2 linked regions of the Callithrix jacchus genome follow. The protein of the gene in region 1 interacts with the protein of each later gene in a pairwise test. Links are inferred from orthologs where the notes say so. Each region holds a gene or a part of one and is shown in the gene's direction. Other genes may lie near its edges.

The links. The genes of interacting proteins can lie anywhere in the genome.
Region 2: the proteins of AP4B1 (region 1) and ZNF576 interact in binary tests that used the Homo sapiens proteins (3 or more experiments, as listed by UniProt). The two-hybrid records come from large-scale screens. The link is inferred for Callithrix jacchus from reciprocal best matches to the Homo sapiens genes AP4B1 and ZNF576.

What each region holds. Positions count from the first base shown.
Region 1 is NC_133508.1:151,877,720-151,885,148, reverse strand, and holds part of AP4B1 (AP-4 complex subunit beta-1), read left to right. Parts: intron 1-371; coding exon of another isoform or gene 372-554; intron 555-1,381; coding exon of another isoform or gene 1,382-1,547; intron 1,548-2,487; coding exon of another isoform or gene 2,488-2,676; exon of another isoform or gene 2,677-2,908; intron 2,909-2,974; exon of another isoform or gene 2,975-3,031; intron 3,032-3,033; exon of another isoform or gene 3,034-3,319; intron 3,320-3,466; coding exon 3,467-3,655; intron 3,656-5,426; coding exon 5,427-5,651; intron 5,652-6,440; coding exon 6,441-6,571; intron 6,572-6,938; coding exon 6,939-7,086; intron 7,087-7,429. Other genes in the region: DCLRE1B (5' exonuclease Apollo), read right to left, coding at 372-554, 1,382-1,547, 2,488-2,676.
Region 2 is NC_133523.1:38,089,073-38,097,065, forward strand, and holds the start of ZNF576 (zinc finger protein 576), read left to right. Parts: upstream 1-2,555; 5' UTR 2,556-2,708; intron 2,709-3,049; exon of another isoform or gene 3,050-3,052; 5' UTR 3,053-3,064; coding exon 3,065-3,149; intron 3,150-5,007; coding exon 5,008-5,435; 3' UTR 5,436-7,993. Other genes in the region: IRGQ (immunity-related GTPase family Q protein), read right to left, coding at 818-1,347. UniProt on the Homo sapiens protein: May be involved in transcriptional regulation.

The sequences.
Region 1 (7,429 bases):
GAAATCTAAGCTCACTGCAACCTCTGCCTCCTGGGTTCAAGCAATTCTCCTGCCTCAGCCTCCTGAGTAGCTGGGATTACAGGCATGCGCCACCATGCCCAGCTAATTTTTGTATTTTTAGTAGAGACAGGGTTTCACTATGTTGGCCAGGATGGTCTTGATCTCTTCACCTCATGATTCAACCACCTCAGCCTCCCAAATTGCTGGGATTATAGGTGTGAGCCACCACACCCAGCCAGGTTGCAATTTTAAATAAGGTGGTCAGTGTAGGACAAAGTGAGAACCGCACAAAGATCTGAAAGATGCGAGAACCGTCAAAGAACCCAGTTCTCTACCTACAGGTAACAGAAAACTGAAAGGAAACAACTCACCAATCTTTATGTTATGTTGTGGGTGCTTTCGAATGAGCTGGATGATCTGGTGGGCAGCTTCTTGTCGGGAAGGAAGAACCAGGGCTGGGTTGCAATTGGTGTTGTCTAGGTATAAAGTATGGATCTGCTTCCCCAGTGTCAGAGCTGGCTCCTTCAGCATGGATGGTGTATATCGAAAATCACCTGGAAGAGTATGTATATGGGAGCAGAAGGTCAGAGACAAAAGAAGACAAGACTTTCCTACCTCAACAATAGATGGGTGTTTGCTTACAAGTCTTTGAAAAAACTATTATGTACCCTGGCACTGAACCATGCAGTATAGCTGCATGGTTTCTTTGTGGAAATGGCTCCATCCTACTTCTATTTTTCAATTACTCTTCACATGGTTTGGACCCTTAAAGAGTGGGAAATCAGCTGGGTGCAGTGGTTCATGCCTGTAATCCCAGCACTTTGGGAGGCCAAGGCAGGTGGATCACCTGAGGTCAGAAGTTTGAGACCAGCCTGGCCAACATGGTGAAACCCCATGTCTACTAAAAATACAAAAATTAGCTGGGCGTTGTGGTGGGTGCCTGTAATCCCAGCTACCTGGGAGGCCGAGGCAGGAGAATTGCTTCAACCCGGGAGGCGGAGGTTGTAGTTAGCCTCGATCACACTACTGCACTCCAGCCTGGGTGACAAGAGCAAAACTCCACCTCAAAAAAAAAAAATAGAGTAGGAAATCAGTTGAGATGGGGTCACTATGCTCATATGTGATGAAGCTAGAAGGACTCCAGCACCTCCAGACTTCTATTGAGTTAAGGCTGCTCAAGAAAAGTCTGCCAGGTGTGGTGACTTACGCTGATAATCCCAGCTACTGGGGAGGCTGAAGTGGGAGGATCACTTGAGGTCAGGAGTTTGAGACCAGCCTAGGCAACATTTTGAGGCCCCAGTCTATACATTAAAAAAAAGGAAAGAAAAAGAAAAGTAATATCTAGTCTGGAGAAGTCGCTGGGATTCCTTGAGAGGCCCACCTGTATAGAGGATGGTTCCAAAATATCCTTCAAAGAGAAACATGACTGAACCAGGACAGTGATTGGCATCGATGAGGGTTACTGTCATGGTCTCTCGTCCAATTTCATCTAGGGGCAATACATGGCTCTCACCAACCTCCAGGGCTCGGATCCATTGCTTAGATACCTGAGGAAACAGTTAGTCATCCCAGTGACCACGGGCTCCCCTCCCTGTTACCTCCTTGGGTCAGGGACTATCCCAAACCTGAATGGAAGAAAGCTGACCAAATCCTGAGCCAGCCAGGAGCAGAAGCTGTAATGGGGATTCCCAAGCAATCTGCCCTTCCTCCTTCCACTCCCCATCCCACCCTTTGTATAACTTAATTAAGAGTTCAGCAAACAGTCTAGTCAGCAATTCTCAAACTTATTCCTGATCTAAATCTCTTGGAGACTTTAGGGTGGGGTGGGGAGAGAGCTGGAGAACCACCGAGCACATTAAGCAGATTCTTATGATGAGGCAAGTTTAGGCCAGGGGCAGTGGCTGACGCCTGTAATCCCAGCACTTTGGGAGGCTCAGGTGGTCAGATCACCTGAGGTCAGGAGTTCGAGACCAACCTGGCCAACACAGTGAAACCCCATCTCTACTAAAAATACAAAAAAATTAGCCGGGTGTGGTGGCCGGCGCCCTGTAATCCCAGCTTCTCAGGAGTTTAAAATAAGAGAAGCGCTTGAACCCAGGAGGCGGAGGTTGTGGTGAGCCGAGATTGTACCACTGCACTCTAGCCTGGGTGACAAGAGCAAAACTTAATCTCAAAAAAAAAAAAAAACGATGAGGCAAGTTTGGGAAACATTGGCCTAGCTTATATATAAAGGTAGCAATAGCTTCCTTGGCTGGACTAAAATATCTCAAGTCGGTCACTTGGAAATCATGTTCTTATTCTAGGTTAAAGATGCATTTCTGGTCCTGCTGAGCAGTCTATGAAAAAAAATACATTTCTGGGTTCAAACAATTTCCGTATTTGTAAAACAGTCTTCATGGACCCCATTCTATAACTCCAAGACTGACAGGTCAAAGTCCCAACCCAGATGCCTGGATCAGCTCTAGGAGGCCGACTCCAGCCCCATACCTGTAGGTGACGATGCAAGAGGTGGGCTGTAATTGGGGAGCAGTAGAGGGGCCGGGCCCAGGTGCTAGACAGGCCCACGGTGTGGTCCGAGTGCATGTGAGACAAGAAGAAGAGCCGTGCGGTGCCAGCCCGGCGCAGGCTCCAGAAGTCCACTGCGATGGGCGTATGGGGGATCAAGACCCCATTCATGGTGGCAGGGTTGGAGTCACCAGAGGGATGCTCTCCATGGGGGCAGGGTTCCTGCCTGAGACTTCCACAACGGCGCCCCGATAAAAGTCATGCTGGGACAAGAACAGGGCCAGAGACCCTAAGGGAAAGAGCCCAGTTGAAGAAAAAGTTACTAGAGTGGGTAGAAAAAGGAAGTGACCGTGCCCCCGGGAACCCAAATCGCGGAAGGCGCTCAGCACTCCCACCCGCGCGCGGGAGTGGAAGCCGGGTAGGGCACTCAAAAGCGCGCGCTGCTGGGAGGAGACAGGCCGAAGTAGCCGATTTCCGATTGCCCGCCGCACTCCACCGGAGGTAGCCGAGCGGCTGCGCCGGGACGGTGAGAGGTTGGGGGAAGGGCATCCTAAGGTCGCAGTCCAGACTAGGCTCAGCGGTCGCTCGCTGGGAGACCCGCAGGGCTGCTCTGGTCTCTTGACAGGGGGGCGGAACTTCCGTAAAAAACAAGATTGGGCCTATCCGCGATGAGAACGGTGCGGAGGCGCACGAAAGGCTGAAACTAGAGAGGGAGGGGCCTGCGGTCAGTCGGCCGCGGCGCTGGAAATCCCGCGGAGGGCCTACTGGTAACCGGAGAGATCTGTGGGCGGGGCGAACGGCCTGCCCGGCGAGGGTAGGGCCTGAAGAGCTCAGGGTGGGGCTCGCGGGGTCGCGGAGGGCGTGGCAGTGTGTCAGAGCCAGCGTGCCGGCCCTACGGAAGCCAAGCCCGGGGCGAGATCTCGCCTTTGTCTTTTCACTGACCCGTATATCCTTCACTCAGGCTCCCACATCAGGACGAGGAGGAGCCCACGAGTTACCGTGGGAGCCGTGGGAGCTGCCCTGTGACTGTTAGGAAGATGCCTTACCTCGGCTCCGAGGACGTGGTGAAGGAGCTGAAGAAGGCTCTGTGCAATCCTCACATTCAAGCTGATAGGCTGCGCTACCGGAATGTCATCCAGCGAGTAATTAGGTATCACCTTCCCTTCGTGCTAACTGCCCGCCTTGCCGTCCCCATCGGGGCTCCCTAGCCCCGGTCTCTCTCAAAGGGTAAATTAGCTTTCACACTTAGCAGTTACACGTTCGGTCTTCGTCCTGCTGCTTTGGAGTACCATCTTAGTCTCCCACCTGCAGCGTCTGTTACTCAGCTGGGTAGTTTCCTCCGTATCAAGGGCTTGAACGATAATTACTGCTGACCCCTGGATCTATAATATAGCGAGTACAGACTTCCTTTTTTAGCTTCAAACCCACGTATCCCACTGCCTGCTTGGCATTTTCATCTGAATGGTTTATCAGAGAGGTATGCCCGAAATAGCACGGACATCCTTCCGTCTTCCTCAAACCTGTTCTTCGGCTTAGGTTTGCGTTGATAAATGCCACCAGCAGCCGACTAAGCATGGGAGCCAACCTTGGGGACACCTGAACCCTGATTTCTCAAGTCAGATAGTTCTAATTCATAATTCTAAATATCTGTCTTCTCTTGTTTATTGGCATTGTTGTTCTGGCCCAGGCCTTCATCACCAAAGCAATTGCACCAGCTTTCTCGTAGGCCCCCTTGAGTCGTTGGAGACAGAATTTTTCCATTATACAAATCTTAACATATAACTCTTGCCTACAGCTATGGTTCACAAACTTTACTATGCACAAAAGCCCCTGGGGTGCTTTATTTCCTCCTGTCCAGGGATTGATTCTGATTTCAGTAGGGTGGCAGGGAACCCAGGAATCTGTATTTTTAGTAAATATCTCAGCTGATTCCAGTAGGAAACCAGTTTGAGAAAGAAAAAAGTCCAAACTTATCACAGCACCCGAGGAACAAGCTGTCAATCCAACTACCTGCAGACTCTCAAAAGAATGTGTGCCGGTCCTACTCATGTCTACATATCTCATAGCATGTATCATCACCTTTCTATTACATCTGCCTGTGGCCTCCTGCTGATTCAGCTAAAGTATTACTTCCTCTGTGAAGAAACATTTTCTGAATTCATGCCAGTGTCAGACCTCTGAATCCCCTCTGTATCTTGTACAATACATTTGTTTACATACTTATCTATTGGCCGGGCACTGTGGCTCACACCTGTAATCCCGGCACTTTGGGAGGCCGATGTGGGTGGATTACGAGGTCAGGAGTCCAAGACCAGCCTGGCCAACGTGATGAAACCCCGTCTCTACTAAAAATACAAAAATTAGCCAGGCGTGGTGGCAGGCGTCTGTAGTCCCAGCTACTCGGGAGACTGAGGCAGGAGAATCACTTGAACCCTGGAGGCAGAGGTTGCACTGAGCCAAGGTTGCGCCACTGCACTCCAGCCTGGGCAACAGAGCAAGACTCCTTCTCAAAAAAAATAAACAAAAATAAAAAATACTTATCTATCATACTGTAATGAATGGCATTCTTAACTGACTCATTAATAGATTTGTAGTTCTCAGAGGTCTGAGACCACACCTTCTTCAAGATTATGTTCCCAGAGCATAGCCCTGGATATTACATCCAGGCATGTAAAAGTTGAATTTCACCAAAGTGTACTAGGAATTCAATAAGTGTTTGTTGAATGAATAGAAGAATAATGTTTATTGCAGGCCTATGGTATGAAGTATTGTGTGATATAATAGACAAGGTATTCCTGGCTGCTACCATCTAAGAGATCACAATCTAGTTGAGTAACCAGGAGATATATAGGTAAAACTCCCTCCATTGTAAGTTGGAGATTTTGTATTTTACTTCTTTCTAACACGTGTGTTGGTTTCAGGTACATGACTCAGGGCTTGGACATGTCTGGTGTTTTTATGGAAATGGTGAAGGCCAGTGCCACTGTAGATATTGTCCAGAAGAAGTTGGTTTATCTGTACATGTGCACATATGCTCCCCTAAAACCAGATCTGGCTCTCCTGGCCATCAATACACTGTGCAAAGATTGCTCAGACCCCAATCCAATGGTGCGAGGGCTGGCGTTACGGAGCATGTGCAGCCTCAGGTGAGTACCCTCTTCTGTGTATGGTCTTCAATGGCTGCCTCAGCAGGGCAGATTTTTAAAGAGCACAATTTATTTGAGCTCCTTAATACTGGGGAAAACACTATTGTATGCTGAACTCAGATTTTCAGCTGTTGCTTTGGCCTGATAACCTGTATCATACAATTTTATTAGAGGGAGTTTTTCATTCTTACCCTCAATAAAATAGTCCTCAGTTTTGGTTAAATATTTCTAAACAATTACATGTGTATCTTTTTTGCTGCCTGTGCAGCAGCATTCAAAATGAAAAGTCAAATTAGAAAAAAAAAAAAGAAAAGTCAAATTAGGTTGGGTATGGTGGCTTATGCCTGTAGTCTCAGCACTTCGGGAGACTCAGGCAGGAAGATTTCTTGAGCCCAGGAATTCGAGACCAGCCTGGGCAAGATGGTGAGACCCTGTATCTACAAAAAATTTAAAAATTAAATGGGCATGGTGACACACACCTGTAGTCTCAGCTACTTGGAAGGCTTAGGCAGGAGGATGGCTTGAGCCCAGGAATTCAAGGCAGCAGTGAGCTATGATCAGGCCACTGTACTCCAGCCTGGGTGACAAAGTGAGACCCCCATCTCTAACAAAAACAAGAAAAAAACAGAAAAGTCAAATTATGGCTTTTTAAACTTGATAGAGATTCTCTGCAATTCTTCATGATCTGATAGAGGCAGCATCTGCTAAACCCTCTGTTAAGTGAACAGGGCTGATATATGTCAAAATTAGTATTTCAGGATCTGGCTAACTCCAGAATGTGTTGCTTAGGATGCCTGGTGTGCAGGAGTATATACAACAGCCTATTCTCAATGGTCTGCGTGATAAGGCTTCATATGTCAGGAGAGTGGCAGTCCTTGGATGTGCCAAGATGCATAATCTTCATGGAGACTCTGAAGTGGGTAGGTTCCGTGTAATCCATCATGGCCAATGTGCCTCTCTTACGTATAACTTTATAAAAGAATATGTGGCTTTGGTTGAAAATAATAATGTGGCCCTAGTTCTGTATATATCTCTTTAAGTGTGATGCAGGGCTTGGTATCTTCTGGGGCTCTGGTGAGATCTGATATTAGCTGCTTAGAACAGTCTGGACATGGCAGTTTTTTTGCCTTATACTTTAGTATGGCTTTTGTCATTTTTGTAGCAGAGAAGTTCAATTTTGTCTGCCTGGAGCTATTACTCTGGCTCTATCCCTGTTACTCTGAAGCTTTTCTTCTTTATCTGAAGAAGAAAATACACTGTGTTCTTTATCTTTGTTCTTTTTTATAGATGGTGCCCTTGTTAATGAATTATACAGTTTGCTGCGTGACCAGGATCCAATTGTGGTTGTGAACTGCTTGAGGTCTCTAGAGGAAATTCTGAAACAGGAAGGAGGCATTGTCATCAATAAGCCCATTGCCCACCATCTCTTAAATCGGTTTGGATGCCTCAGTGCTCTTTTTATTATGAGATCTGCGTCCTTGTGGGATCTTGTTAATTTACTGAAGTATTGAACAACTTATGTGTGGTAGAAAAGAAAGTTAACTATTATTAACTCCCTTGCATTTCACTGAGAGAACTTTTATTTGCCTTAGTTTCCCTTATTGATACAGGGAAATAGAAATATCCTGTGGGAATAGGTTCTACTCTTCTCTAGTCATTATATCCCTCAAACTAAGCCATTTATAGCATCTTAAAATGTAGAGAACCTGGACCTAGTATATGTAGTGTATGCTGATCATGTCTTTGGTCTTAGATGAGTGTGCATGTGTACTCATCTT
Region 2 (7,993 bases), on another chromosome or scaffold:
GCTGGAACCCAGGAGGCAGAGGTTGTAATGAGCCGATATCGCACCTTTGCAGTCTAGCCCAGGAAACAGTGTAAGACGCCATCTCAAATAAATGAATAAAATAATATATTTAATAATAACACTCATTGCGAGTATGGCTTTAGGGCAACCGAGGTCGCTTGAAAACCAAGCTAATGGTGGAGACGGCTCAAGGATTATCATTTTCAGGTAAAATCTTCCAGGGGGCTGGGCACAGTGTCTCATGCCTGTCATTCCAGCACTTTGGGAGGTCAAGGCAGGCAGATCACCTTGGTTGGGCCAGGGACTGGAAAAATGAGCCTCAGGGCCCCAACAAATAAAGTGTTAAGCCCTTCCCTTCTAATCCTAGGGCTCTGGGAAGCCTGGGTGGGAGCGTGGCTTGAGGCCAGGAGTTCAAGACCAGCCTGGGGAAGCAGTGAGATCCTATTTTGTAGCCTGTAGTACTGGCTACTCTGGAGGCTGAGGCAGAAGGATCATTTGAGCCCAGGAGGTGGAGGCCCTCAGTGAGCTAGGATTGTGCCACTGCACTCCATCCTGTCTCAAAAAAAGACTGGGTATGGTGGCTCTCGACTGTAATCCTAGCACTTTGGGAGGCTGAGGCGGGAGTATTGTTTAAGGCCAAGAGTTCAAATTCAACCTAGCCAACATAGCGAGATCCTGTCTTTGACGGAAAAAAATATACAATAATAGAGTTAAGCTTTGCCTCAAAACCAGTGGGGGAGGGATCTCACGGACCTCAAAAAGGACCTAGGTGCGTAGGGTCCCAACTAAGGGACCCAGCCAGAAAGCCGGCACTCACCTCCTCAGCGCTTCTGCCTGGCTCTGCAGTGCCACCCGGAGGCGCTCTAGCTCCTCACAGCCGTCGCAGCTGCCACAGTTCGCCGGTAGCACAAACAGATCCGCGGCTCCTAACCCAGCGCTGTTCAGCAGAGCTGCAGTCTGATCACGGGCCTCGGTGGCATTCTGTGAATCCCCAGGACGGAGGTTCCGCACAGCCAGTAGCGGCGTCCCTCGGGCCAGGGCGGCCCGCGCTGCCTCTCCCAGGGCTGGGGCCAAGGGTTCGCCGTTGCCCTCAGGTCCCGGCAGCACCAGTACCAGCAAGTTGGCTTCCGCCGCCCAGGGCCCCGGCGCTGCGGGTGGACAGCTCAGCTCGCCCAGAAAAAGGCCCGGGCCCGCAGCTCTCAGGCTGGGGACCCCAGAGTCCGGCCGTCCCTCAGGGGCCTCGAGGGTCTCCACATCCTTGTCGCACAGCGCTGTGATCAGCGCAGACTTTCCCAAGCCCGGAGGCCCGAGGAATAAGGCGGTCACGTCACCCTGCGGCGGAGGCATGGCTGGAAAGCAACGGGTGGAGAAGACCCGGGTCAGTGAACACCTGGCCTTTGTCTTTCCTAGCCGCCCCACCCGGAACCCAGGACTCAATCCTCCACTCTGTCCCCTTCGATTCTTGAGCGTCATTCTCCGGGACCTAAAAAGCCAGAGCCCAGACGCTATTCCCCCGGGATCCCAGGCATCCTGTCTGCCCACCCTCTTTCTAGATGGAAACGTTTCCCCTTCTGCTTCAAAAACTCAAAAATCAGGGGCGGTGGCTCATGCCTGTAATCCCAGCGCTTTGGGAGGCCGAGGCGGGAGGATCGCTTGAGGCCAGGAATTCGAGACCAGCCTGGGTAACATGTGGGACTCGCTGGTAGAGTCCCTGTCCCTATAAAAAAATAAAATTTAGCCGGGAGTGGTGGCGCACGCCTGTAGCCCCAGCTACTCGGAAGGCTGCGGTGGGAGGGTCGCTTCAGCTCAGGATTTGGAGGCTGCAGTGGGCCATGAAGGCCCTCTCTCAAAAATAAATAAATAAAAATAAAACCTCAGAAATTTGGCTTCCAGTCCCTCCTCCCTCGGACACACTGTTGTTTTTATCCTCCCCCTCTCCGCCTTCCAAATCACCAACCGAGCAGAGCCGACCCACGGGAGCGTGCAGTCGGTGGCAGTGGGTCAGTCGCGGAGAAGCTCGACACTAAGCCGCGGTGGACGGAGGCCGAAGAGGCCAGAACGCCGTGATTTAGAGATGCCGGGACGCGTCCCGTTGGCTTTAACCTGACGTCACTCACTCAACCAAGGGGGTGTGTCTTGGAAGCGAGACTGCAGAGAACCAGACCTTCGCAGCGCCTGCGCAGAACGGCCAAAGTGCGCACGCCCCTCTTCCGCGGCCTCAGAACCTAGAACAATGAGGGAGTCAACGCGCCTGCGCGCCACGAGCGCCTACTCATTCAGACGCAAAAAGCTTAGGTATCTACGGCACAGGGGGCTAAACGTCATCATAACGCGCCCTAGTGCAGAAAAGGACCTCTCCCGTTATTTTCAGCACCGGGCTGGTGCGACTGTACTATTGCCGGATGGCAAATCCGGGCTCTCGGCTCCGAGAGACTCATGTGGCGAAAGGGCGCAAACCACGGGGGACCCTGAGACTGAGTGGGCCCTATTCCACTTCTCTCTGGGTGGCGGCGCTGTGGCGAGAGACTGACAGGCGCAGCGAAAGGCAGCCCTCTGCTGTACGAAGGAAAACAGAGGCCTGGGAGCAGGAACCTGTAGGCAGCGCTTGCGGGTAGCGGGATAGTGGCTGCAAGCGCGGCGCGGGCTCTGGGCGGAACAAAAATCACAGGATGTCAGAGGATGTTTCCCGGGAAGAACTGGGATAAAGGGTGGGTATCACTACTTGCCCCAAGACACTCGAGACTGGGATGACGCTGGTGTCAAAGATAAAGGCTCCCAGGCTGAGTTCAGTGAGTTTGATGCAGCAGGTCATAGGTCACACCAGTGAGAAGACTCTAGGGGAGTCCCAAACCCGGGAAGTCCAGTCTTTTGGGAGATTTGAAGCTTCTCTTAAAAAGAACTCCACCAATTAGAGTTCAAGGAGAGTATGTCGTGGGGGTCAAAGGCAGGCAAGGAGAGCCTCTGGCGATGTCAAAGGTCATAGACTTAGGGTGCCCTCTGCTGGTAACAGATGAACAGCTTCACTTATGCACGCTCCTCTCTTGACTAGAAGGGTCCCAGCACCATGGAGGACCCGAACCCTGAAGAGAACATGGAGCAGCAGGATTCACCCAAGGACATAAGTCCCCAGAGCCCAGGAGGCAACATCTGTGAGTACACATGGCTGGCTGGCTAGAGGAGGGTGGGATGCAGGAGTGACGCTAAGATCTCTGTGGCACTTTAGTGTCCAAGGCGCCACAGAGTTTTGTCTGTCGAGAAGGTGCTGTAATGGCCCATAAGCTGCTCCAGAAGGAAGTGCCTCTCCTCACACCTGCTTTTGTGGCCAGAGTACTCACCCTCCTCTGGCCGCATAAGCAAGATTGCGATGCTTATGCATTCAGAGGGATAAGGTGGCTTCCAGGAGAGGCTTGGGTTGGAGATGTGGCTAAGAATAGTTTTACTGGGAGAGAAGCCCCAAGATCCTAGTGCTGACTCTGCCCTAGACTTTCAGTGTAACTTGGGCCTTGGTCTCCCAGTCTGTCAAAAGAGGCTGGCACTACCCACCTTACAGGGTGGTTATGGGATTAACTGCAGCAAAGGGGACAGCTGGGTGTTAATGATGGTAGCCAGTTTGATATGTAATAGCAGTATCTCCTGCTCAATGTTTTATTATGTGCTGCGTGTATTTATTCTTAATGAATGATTTTAACATTCATTATCTCATTCAGTCCTTCGAATAATAGGCCCTTTAAACTGGGAACTGAGGCAGAGAAAGGTATTTCTAACAAGAGCTGTAGTCTCAATGCCCTTGAGCCAGAGACTACCAGGAACACACCCGCAGTTGAACACATTGGGTTTATGGCTCAGTGCAATGAAGAACACACACCATGGAGAACTGTGGAGTGACTCACTAAGTGTTAAAAACGACATAGGATTTGGGCTTGTGGGGGGTGGTTTTGGAAAAGGTTCCAGCAAAAGTGTTGGGTGGCTCTGGATTGGATGCCACCAGGAAGCAGGGGCAATTCTGTGATTGGCTATTTTAATAAATCTTATGCAGAAGGGGGAAGGAAGAAGGTGAGGCTCAAGTTCTGACTGATAAAGCAGCAGCGGACATTCACATTAGCCAGGATGGGAGGAAGGTTGGTCATTTGTCTGCTTGGACAGCATTCATATTTTGTCTGTGTTCAGACATTATGATGATGTAGTCTTGTCTTGATTCATTCTTGTCACAGCATGGCCTTGGCTGTCCTTGATGTTGTGAGAAATTATTTATGTTCAACAGAACACCAAGGTCTAGCTGTGAGTTCCAGAGCTGATCCTGGGTGTCGAGCTACATTGTCTGTATCATTAGTCACCATTGCAAAGGACTACATAGCAATTCAGTTATTCCTTCCAGTGGTCCTATGGAATAGATGCTGTTATTAGTGCATTTTCCAGATAAAGAAACTGGTGTGATTGTGTCTAGGAAGTGGGGGAGCGGTCTGGCTCCAAACATTAGGCTGTAATCACCGTACCCCTCTATTGGGCTGGCTGACTCTGGGCTCCACCATTTCTTTTCCTAGCCTCATGACTATGGGCAACTTGCCTAACCTCTTTTTTTTTGGGAGATGGAGTCTCACTCTGTCACTCAAGCTGGAGTGCAGTGGCATGATATCGGCTGACTGCAACATCTGCCTCCCAAGTTCAAGGAATTCTCCTGCCTCAGCCTCCTGAGTAGCTGGGACTACAGGTGAATACCGCCATGCCCAGCTAATTTTTTGTATTTTAGTAGAGACGGGGTTTTACTGTGTTGCTGAGGCTGGTCTTGAACTCCTGAACTCACCCACCTCAGCCTCCTAATCTCTTTGAATCTCAGTTTGTTCATCCATAAAATGAGTCCAAGAACAGTTCTCCTGTGTGGTCGTCCAGCATTAGCACAGAACCTAGCACACAGCACACTCAATGTTAATTGCTGGTGTGATTCTGGGGCTCAGGAGAGGTCCTGGAGACTCCCACTGGCCTCCCCTGACCTCTTCCCACATCCCTCAGGCCACCTGGGGGCCCCGAAGTGCACCCGCTGCCTCATCACCTTCGCAGATTCCAAGTTCCAGGAGCGTCACATGAAGCGGGAACACCCAGCGGATTTCGTGGCCCAGAAGCTGCAGGGGGTCCTCTTCATCTGTTTCACCTGCGCCCGCTCCTTCCCCTCTTCCAAAGCCCTGATCACCCACCAGCGCAGCCATGGTCCAGCCGTCAAGCCCACCCAACCGGTTGCAACCACTACTGCGCAACCCATCTTCCCTTGTCCTGACTGTGGCAAGACCTTTGGGCAGGCTGCTTCTCTGAGGCGGCACCGCCAGATGCATGAGGCCCGAGCCCCTCCTGGCACCTTCGCCTGCACAGAGTGTGGTCAGGACTTTGCTCAGGAAGCAGGGCTGCATCAACACTATATTCGGCATGCCCGGGGGGAGCTCTGAGTGCAGCTTAAGCCTCTCCATGGTGACAGGTGACGTTGTGCCCCATGAGACCCACCCATGATATGGGGTGCAGGAACTCTGGGGGCCCTGAGGGATTTGCTTCCCTCCCCTGGGAGGGCAGATAGCTCTTAATAGAGAGGACCCAGAAGATTCTCATTTAGAGCTTCAGTCTTTGGAGGACACAGGGCCTTCAGGAGATGGTGAAATCAGACAATAATGAGATCTTTTGTTTATAAAAAAATGGGAAGAGAGTATGGGAGAGAAATGATTTGTGTCTCCATAATTCCCAGTTATACACTTAGCTGTGGATTGTGCCATCACCCTTCATTCTTCCCAGATGGATACCATGGGCTATGGGAGCAAACTGCCCTGGACCTTTGCCTGAATGAGGGCAGGGAAGGTAAGGTGTTGCTGGCCTGTAGTGCCACCGGATGAGTTCCAGATATGGGGCAACTTGGGCCTTTGGGGAGGGGGCAGCAAAGTTGGGAGCTGGATCCCAATTGAGTGGGGTGGAAATTCAAGTCCTTGAATCTCTTCACACCCCCCCCTGCCACCCTCCTCATTCAGAGGGGCCATGTCACTGGATGGCACTAGTCCCCTGATAATTGTTTAAATAATTTTGGGTATCATTCTAGTCATGAAATATTTTTTCATATTTGTAGGTGACATGGTATGAATAAGCTAACGGGAATAGTATCTAAAAACAAAACATCCATATTAAAATGTCTAAACCGGGAGTTCTGGCTTTTGAGTGGGAATTTCCAGAGAACATAAGGGTGTGGGCAGGTGGGAGAACTCAGGGCAGAGTTGGCCTCGCCTTGTGGGGAAACTGATTTGGAATCAAACAGAGATGCCTTCTGTTTCAGGTTTTATTTGGCCAACACTGGGAGATTTCTCATTAAGATCCTATTTTCAGCTCTCTTGAAAGGCCCAACCCAGGGGCAGGGCAGAAGCTACAACAGGCTGGAGCAAGCAGTGGGTGTCACCCTCAACTGGAGATGAATCCCACCAGGCCAGTATTACTCCCTTAGTTACCTGCCCTGCACCTGCAGACAATGATCAATGCCCTGAATATAACACTCGTAGACTCTGTTTATGTGGAGGGATGTTTGCTTTTTTTTTGAGACGGAGTTTCGCTCTTGTTACCCAGGCTAGAGTGCAATGGCGTGATCTCGGCTCACCACAACCTCCGCCTTCTGGGTTCAGGCAATTCTCCTGCCTCAGCCTCCTGAGTAGCTGGGATTACAGGCACGCACCACCATGCCCAGCTAATTTTTTGTATTTTTAGTAGAGACGGGGGTTTCACCACGTTGACCAGGATGGTCTGGATCTCTTGACCTCGTGATCCCAAATCCTAGCACTTGGCCTCCCAAAGTGCTAGGATTACAGGCGTAAGCCACCACGCCCGGCCCGTGGAGGGATGTTTTTAAAGCCCACAGGTGAGGTGGATGTGGTAGACTGATCACTATCAGTTTTTAGCTAGGCACATGGTAGCTGAAAGACTACATTTCCCAGATTCCTTTGCAGCTAGATGTGGCCATGTGACTGAGTTCCTGCTAAATTCCTGGGTAGAATGCTCAAGCTTAAGAAAGGGGTGGTCAGGTGCGGTGGCTCATGCCTGTAATCCTAATACTTTCGGAGGCCAAGGCCTGGACACCCTGAGGTCAGGGGTCCAAGACCAGCCTGGCCAACATGGGGAAACCCCGTCTTTACTAAACTACAAAAATTAGCCGGTTGAGGTGGCACAGGTCTGTAATCCCAGCTACTTGGGAGGCTGAAGCAGGAGAATTGCTTGAACCTGGAAGACAGAGGTTGCAGTGACCCAAGATTGTGCCACTGAACTTCAGCCTGGGTGACACAGCAAGACTCCATTTAAAAAAGAAAAGAACATACCTCTTTTCCACCCTCCTAACTGTAATACAGACATGGTATCCAGCCATCTCGGACCATAAGGACAAGAGCAACACGTGGGATGGCAGAGCAACAAGATAGCAGGAGTCTGGGTCTCTGGTCAATTTCATGGAAAAAGACCATACCAGCCCACTTTCATATTGCTATCTAAGAAATAAACTTCTTATTTATGCCACCATTATTTTGGGTCTCTGTTACATGCAACAAGAACAGGGGTCTGCAAACGATTGCCAACTCTAGCCTGCTGCCTGGTTTTACAAATAAAATTTTATTGTAGCCAGGCGTGGTGGTGCACGCCTGTGGTCCCAGCTACTCGGGAGGCTGAGGCAGGAGAATTGCTTGAACCTGGGAATCGGAGGTTGCATTGAGCCGAGGTCATGCCACTGCACACCAGCCTGGGCAATGAGTGAGACTCAGTCTCAAAAAAAATTTATTGGAACACAGTTTTATACTCACTACTTACGTATTGATGATGACTGCTTTTGCCAAGAACAGCAGATATGAGTAGTTGCAACAGAGATCCTTATGGCCTACAAAGCTTAAAATAGTTACCATATAGCCCTTTACAGAAGTTTGCCTACCCCTGGTCTAAGTAATAAGACATTCAACCTACTCTGAGTCTGGAAAAGCAGGAATTTCCATCCTGG